2 linked regions of the Callithrix jacchus genome follow. The protein of the gene in region 1 purifies or fractionates together with the protein of each later gene. This does not show direct contact. Links are inferred from orthologs where the notes say so. Each region holds a gene or a part of one and is shown in the gene's direction. Other genes may lie near its edges.

Region 1 (3,745 bases):
TTAGATGCAGCACACACACAAAAAAAATGTCAAATTTGCATAAATATCATAAGCATATTGTGCCTATTTTCTCATTCTGTTCACTTTCATTAATTTGAGTCAGACAGTACAAGCTCTACAGACCGTGCGACTGGTCCCCTGCACCCTTTCCCCCTTCTGTTCCAGCTCTGTTCCCAGATGGTAAAATCCACCCTCAGGGCTTACGTCTAGTGCACACAGGGAAGGGACTAAAGCGGGATCTCCCCTGGAGGGGAGGGTTAAAAACAAACAAACAGGTAAGAATTAATTTGTCTTATATTTAGCTAATTTTATTAAAAGATGATCGCAGTGGCATTGTCTACATGTTAACCCCAGTGTTGAAAAAAGAGAAATCTGGACCTTCTGATTCATGATCCCTTCTTCTTGCACTGGCTTTACCTCAGGGTGGCCATTTCTCAAGATCTGAGCACAGCCCCTCAGAAGACTTGAAGTGGCCACAGACAGGGCAGCTCTTGCTGGAGGCAGGAGAGCTGCAAGGATGGTACCTGAGAGGATATGAGGAGAACGGGGCACATTGAGAAAACCTAGTAATTCCTCCCCTTATTTCCCAAGCAAGTTCTGCTTTGCCTCCCCCCTCCCCACAACCAATTGCTTCACGCCCCTCCTGGCTGCCCCTCTGCTGTCCCTTATCCCCTTTTCCCAAAGAAGCACGGGGACAGCTATGCGCTCCGTCACAGGACCGCGACATACAGCCTTTAAACCGTAGCGTCTGAGTTGCAGGCAGGGGTCTCACAATCATCCTATTCTGCATGCAAGAGGCCCCTGGAATAAAGAGGAGGTAAGCTGCCCACGTGCAACCCTTTGCCCTGTCGCGTCCACTTTCTCCTACGGAAAATAGCTGCGGGTCACTGAGACGCTTTTCAAGATAACGCCAGTCCCAGGGCTCAGGTGAGACCTTTAGAGAGAAAGCTCGCGGGTACCTCCTCCGCAGGCTGTTATGGTCTGCCAGCCCCCTTATGCCGGAGCTCGGCCCTCTGCCGGCTGCGCGCACAGCACGGAAGGGCGCATCTTCACCCCGTGGCTCTGGCGGCGGAGACGCGCGGGGCGTGATCGGGAGCGAGGAGCGAAAAGTTGTGCGCCCACTTGGGTAGGGGGAAAGAGAACGAGCGAGCCAGCGCAGGAGAGTGAAGGGGGAAGGCGGGGAGGGGGCGGGGAGGGGGATTGCTTGCATGAATTTCCAAGTGGTAGACCTGCCTCTGCGCTCTGCCCAATGAGATCCGTCAGGGGAGGCACCCGGCTCACTTTTCCACATCACTTCACAGTTACATTTGGCAGGCAGGCGGGCTCGCACGCCGGAGCGCTCAGCCCAGAATTAGTGGATTTATTTGGAATCTCCCTGCTTTCTCCAAGCTCCGCCGCCGCCGCCGGTTTGTGCGTAGATGGTAGCATCAAGCCACCAGCTGCACTTTGGGCTGCAGACACCCAGAGACCAGCGCGCCCGCCCCGCGTCTCAGCACCAAGCCCTGCAGCTCCGAGAGGCATGAACGGAATCCGGAGGCGCCTGCCCAGCGCGCAGGGACCGGTCGGCACTTGCTGCCCTCGAGAGCTGACCCCGAGCCCCTCCAGCCATTTGTGAACCAGGAGGCTTGACATCGCCACCGCAGGGCCCGGCAAGAGTAAGTGTTCCGTCAACCCACCCCGGTTTTTCTCTCTGTCCCGACGATCCAGAACGGATCGTTTCTTTTAGGAATTTCCATGCCCCTTCGGACTCCTTGCGCGCCTCCTGCCTCTCAGATGTTGGATGCGGGTTCCTACCACAGGCTCGGGGCTAAACTGTGCCTTTCGCGATATCCGTGGGTGATGCGTACGCCTCAGGGTTTTGCCTGACTGTTTTTGCAAACTGCTCTGACAACAGATCCTGGAGAGTAGCAAGCTCTAGGCTGTGCCCCTCCAGTTTTCCTGCCAGTTTCCTTCCCTGCGGGTACCCGGCTATTTCGCCTCCTCCCAACGCGGGCAGGCGCGGCTGTAGCGGCGCGCCTTCACTGCGGGGTCCGTGCGGTGAATGGGAAGCACCCGCCGCCCGCTGTGCGGAGGGTGCAAGCCAGAGAAAAAAAGGAGGCGAGGGAGCCCGAGTGTCCTATCGCTGGGTTTCTGCACCGCCTCTTCTCCCAGGCAAGGGAGGGCGACCCCCGCAGAAGGGCTGCGGGCTAAGACTCAGCTGCGAAAGCCCCAGCGCGAGGCTTTCCCACAAGTGGCAGCTTCAGCTCTGCGAGGCGCGGTGCCCGCTGCAAACTTGCCGGGCTCCGGAGCCGCCCCGAGGCTCTGCCCTCGCCAAGACGCTGCCCAGAACCCCTGCAGGACCCCCATGCACTGTCTTCCCCAAGCTCGAGAGATTGCACGCACGGAGGCCCCCCTGAGTCGAGGACTCCGTAGCCCCTATGCTAGGGACCGCTGAACCTAGAGCTGAGCTTTCTGTGATCTGACGGCTTCTCCTCCGAGAACCCCTGGGGGGCTCGTCACGCCCCTCGCAGGACCGGAGGAAAAAAAGCTCTTGCCTGGGTTCTGCCAGTACGTAACAGGTTCATAAGGGACCTACTCCCGTTCTCCCAGGCTCCAGCCAAGGCTAGAAAACAGTAAAAACCTGTCGCCGCCAACGCTGATGCCAACAGGTATCCACAATTTCCTCCGCTTCTTCCTCCCCGACACGAGAGCCTCCCCCAACCCAATCTGGCGGAATCCTCAAAGTTTCCTTGCGGTTGACCCTTCCGCTGCAGGCACTAAGCCGGCGGCACGTCAAGGACTAGCCGTTTGTCTCCACGAGCGGAGATGGCAGCTGTTTGCTTGGGTTGCTGAATGTAAAAAAATCAAACAACATTAATTGTTTATTGTTGCAAACGCACATTAGTCCGTAATGAAAAATCAGGCTGGTAGCTGCTCACTTCAGCTCCAATTAAACGATAGAGCTTATCACCAAGACAGCGGGAGGGAGAAAAGGTCCTTTCAACTTTACCACCCTTTCCTGAAGATTCCACAAGAGTTTCCTCCTTAGGAGGCATGATCCGGCAATCCCTTAGCGCGCCCGAGCTGCTAATCAGATCAGCTTCTTTCTTTCACCCTAAGTCACGGTATTTGTGGGCTGACAATGGGAACGGGGAGACGCTAGGGAAGGTATGCGAGGGTACTGTCCTCTCGCATCCGGCACTATCGCGAAGCAGATAGGAGGGATGGGGGTTGGCTGGGGCCCTTTTGAAGCTCCTGTCGTCTTTACGGCACTCCTGACAGCCATCTCAATGGTTAAAAACCCTCCCTGGGCTGTCACCTCCGGCTTCATTATAGGCGCTTTTCAACTGGAAAACTATATGTGGGAATGATGTTTATGTAAGATTAGAAAGTGGGATTTTCCATCCATTCAGCCTCGCTGCTGCAGCTCACTGCATGCAAAGTGAGCCCTGTCGTTCATGCTAAATACCACTAAAATCCCTGCCTAGATATTGCTTCGCAGCAGCTGTGTCCAGCGTTGCAGGGATTTCTTCGTGTGTGTGTGTGTGTGTGTGTGTGTGTGTGTGTATTTGAGAGAGAAGTATGAGGTGGGGACTAGGACTGGGGTTCTTTTACCGAGAGAAGTGATACCTTTGAAGGATGTTCTCTTAGGGTTACATCCCCCCCGCCCCCCACCCTCGATTTAAAGGGAGTTCTCCGTAATCAAGTCCAGACATGTTTTTTTTTTTTTTTTTTTTTTTTTTTTTTTACTTCCCCGAGCTCCTTG
Region 2 (3,745 bases), on another chromosome or scaffold:
AAGTTATTTCAAGAATATGCTGTCCCTGAAACATGAGCTATGCCTTAAACTACATATCCTACCTCCATGAGTGAATACGTAAGTGGGTTTCCTGCCAGCATGTATGTGTAAAGACCTATTGTTTGCATGTATTAATTGCGGTCCTGGGATAAAAGCACAGACGTAACTTTCACTGCTGCTTTTTGTACTCTCTCCAATGTTTTGGAGGAAAAATAAGCACAAACAATAGAATAGAGAAAGTGAAGCGATCGTAATTGTTGCAGCTTTGACAAACGCCAATTTTGCTGCATTACAATGGGAAACATTTTTCAGCCTATCAAAATTAATTAAAAAACGTTTTTAAAGTCAGTTAAAAATATTAGAGGCTGTCTAATCGATCGCTTTTTCTATAAACATACTTTGGTTTCTCAAGTAATACCGTAAAAACCTTCTTCTCCAAAGAAAAAATCCCCACAAATAAATCTATTGATACCTAGTGACAAGTGGAACCAGATAAAAATGGAATCTATAATAATTAAGCTAATGGACAGTGCTCCGGAGCGAATCCATTTCCACTAGTTACTTGCTCACAGTAGGTACTCAGAAGGACTTGTTGAACTGCGGGCTTGGCGCCCATTCTCCGGGAGTTCACAGCCCTCGCGAGCGGGATCGAGGGCGGCTTGGCCCGGTGATTCAGGTCGAAACTCAAGCTGAGCCGCCCGCTGCGGGGGGGGACCCACCATCCGGACAGTGGGGGGCCTCTGGGTGCCGCGAGACTGGGCTGCCAGCCAGGTCCAGCAGGGAGTGCGCGGCACAGACCGCAAGGTCGTAAGGCCCCGACACCCGCGCCGGGCCGGGAGTCCGCAGACTGGCGACGGGGCAGCGGCGGCGGCGGCGGCGCCCAGGAGCGCCCCGAACTTCCGCCCTCCGAGGACCCGTCCCGCCCGCCCCGCGCGGCCCCCGAGGGCCGGGGCCGAGGAGCCACCTTCCGCAGGCCGCGGGAAAGGCGCGCCGAGTCCTGCAGCTGCTCTCCCGGCTCGGGAAACGCGCGGGGCGGGGGCGTCGGGCTTGGGACGGGGGAGGAGACGGGGCCACCTTCCCTCACCCAGGCCTGCAGGGGCCCGGCCTCCCCGACGCAGACCACGGCGCCCTCCGGGGCCGCCCTCCGGTCCCGCGCAGCAGGCAGCCGCCAGCCTGCGCCCGGGGAGCGTCCGTGGGGAGCGTCCGCGGCGAGCGCGGCCCCCGCCCCGACCCGGAGCGCTCTCACGGCGGCGCACTGCCGGGCCGCGCACGGCTGGCGGCGCGGGACTACTTTCCCCCGCCCTCTCGCGCCCCGCCCCGTGTCCTCGCGCGGCGGAACGCTCCGCGCGGTGCCGGCGGCGGCAGGATACAGCGGCTTCCGCGCGACTTATAAGAGCTCCTTGTGCGGCGCCATTTTAAGTCTCTCGGTCTGTGGCAGCCGCGGTAGCCCGGCCCCGGGAGCGGAGAGCGAGGGGAGGCGGAGACGGAGGAAGGTCCGACGAGCAGCCTCAGTGCCCGCCGAGCCGCCACCGCAGGTCGAGGACGGTTGGACTCCCGCGGCGGGAGGAGCCTGTTCCCCTGAGGTGCTTGGGCGCTCCTTTCCTTATCCTTCCGGGGCTGCTCCCGCTTCCTCTCGGAGCCAAACTTCGTCGCAGGCGCGCGGTCCGGGCGGCGGGCTGGGAGCCGGGCCGGGCACAGCCCGGAGGCCTGGGGTGGGGAGCGGGGGTTCGGGTGGGGGACGGCGGGGGCGGGACGCGCCCGGGGCGCGGAGGGCGGTGGCCGGGCCCGGGTTCCGGTCGCGCTGCCCCTCAGGGGCCCCGGGGGCATCGCTTGCAGGGAGGGGGTGCCGCGGGGTCGCGTCCAGGAGCCCGGATGGCCGGCGGGTGGGAGTGGGGGTGGGGGTCTGTGGTTTCTGTGCGGGGCTCCGGCCTTGGCCGAGTTTGGGGGAGGGACCCTGTGCCTCGGGATGCGCTGGGGCCCGGGGTGGGGTGGGGGGCGGGGTGGGGACCGGGGGCTCCGCCTTTTCAGCTCCTGCGGCGAGTTGGGGTTCGGGGGCTCAGGCCGGAGCGCCACCCTAAGTCCCATCTGTCCTGGGGATCCGCCGAGTGGACTTTCTCTTAAGATTTCGGAAGAATAGAAGTGTTAATTTTATTATTATTAATTTTTGGTAATGCCCTGCCTGTGTGAGTTTGAATCGAAGCAACTTTAAACCTTAGAGTAAACTCTGAGTGCGGTCGGTGCGATGCGTCAGTAGGGTGTGCACGTAGAAAATCCGTGTCTTGCACTATTTTAGCGTACCGTGCAGGTGAGTGAAAGCGGTGGATAAAGTAGGGGAGTCTTCTGGGTTTATGGTAGTGGGCATGAGACCCTAGTGAAACAAGGGGGTGGAGGAAGGGCGAAGGTGATGGCTCACTGTTTGTTACCACGTAAACTGCAGGATTCGGCCTCTGACTCGGACCGCTTCGAGGATTTTGTTCGTTTGAAATAATTTAAATTTATTCAAATAGTTTGATGGCAGCTAAACTTGATTTTTAGAGCACGTTTTCTTTTCAGCGGAGTGAATGAAATTTTCCTTCTTTGCAAAACGGCCAAATGCAATTCAAGCAGTTGAAACTTCTCTGTTTTGTCTGGAGAGAGGACTTTGAACCGAGACTTTTCGAAGTTGAGTTCCTATAGCCCGCTTCTGAATCTGCCAAGCTGGAAAGCTTTGGCACTGGGTGTAGTTGTTCCCTTCGTTCTGTTCCCTTGTGGAGGGACATTGTCTCATACTTTGTATCTTGCAGACATCTGTGGTCTCCCCCGTCCCCGGCCCCCCACCCCTCGAGTTTGTGAGTGGTGAATGAAGAAAGACCAGGCTGCTGGTATGCAGAGGTCGGCAAAAGGAAATCGAGGAGTGGTTTTAGTGCAATGAGAGCTTTGTATCGTGAATAATGGTGGCTTAGGCTTGAAGGGACGGCAGCATTTCCTTTGGTAATGTCTACGCTAATGTTTTTCAGATCGCTAAGTTGTAAAGTAGTTTGTCTGGAATTTAGGAAGCCATTTCAGTGTTTGTCACTTGGTGAACGAACATTCAGTACCTTCAGATGTCTTCGTGTCGATCGATTTGTATTCATCCTGAGAAATAGTAAATATAGCCTGAAGTGTTATTTATATTACTATCCGCTTAAATTGTTGACATAAATTTCTACTTTGGAGTCGTTTCGTTTGAACTAAGGCTGCTGCGACATTTATTTTACTTTTATATTTAAATCTTTGAAAAATCTCTGATTAAAAAAAAGTACCTTTAAGGGTTTGAGGATGTCCTTTCACACCAGACAAAATTTAGTTAATTTGCGCCCAATATTCATTAATTTGACCTAACCTTTGTTCTGAAGGCCATGTACAAGGACAAGGCCCTGAGATTATTGCAACAATAACTTGAAAAACTTTCAGAAGTCTTTTCTGTAGGATTAAAGGAATGCTGAAACTATTCAAGTCTGAAGTCCTGGGGGTGGGGAGAAGTAAAAACCTGTGCTAGAGAGCTTAGTATAGCATGTAACTTTAGAGTCCTCAGGAGTCGTGAGTCTCCCACAGACCAGAGCAACCATTTAAAAGTTTTCAGGAGAAAACAACTTAAAAAAAAAATAAGGCGGCTAATAAAAAATGAAGCATTTAACAGTGTTCAGGTTTCAGAGTATCGAGGGGTTTTTAAAACTGTTACTGGATTATTTCCTTTACCAAGATGATGATATAGAAAAGTGTATTG

Evidence for each region. Proteins that work in one complex are often made in the same cells at the same time.
Region 2: the proteins of CDH8 (region 1) and CTNNB1 purify together in Homo sapiens (co-immunoprecipitation; 3 studies listed by BioGRID and IntAct, counting the BioPlex papers as one, with this or other methods). This does not show direct contact. The link is inferred for Callithrix jacchus from reciprocal best matches to the Homo sapiens genes CDH8 and CTNNB1.

What each region holds. Positions count from the first base shown.
Region 1 is NC_133521.1:19,763,089-19,766,833, reverse strand, and holds the start of CDH8 (cadherin-8), read left to right. Parts: upstream 1-1,297; 5' UTR 1,298-1,655; intron 1,656-3,745. UniProt on the Homo sapiens protein: Cadherins are calcium-dependent cell adhesion proteins. They preferentially interact with themselves in a homophilic manner in connecting cells; cadherins may thus contribute to the sorting of heterogeneous cell types.
Region 2 is NC_133518.1:78,994,252-78,997,996, forward strand, and holds the start of CTNNB1 (catenin beta-1), read left to right. Parts: upstream 1-1,417; 5' UTR 1,418-1,448; coding exon of another isoform or gene 1,449-2,085; exon of another isoform or gene 2,086-2,305; intron 2,306-3,745. Other genes in the region: uncharacterized protein LOC144579968, read right to left, coding at 515-1,386, 1,449-2,085. UniProt on the Homo sapiens protein: Key downstream component of the canonical Wnt signaling pathway.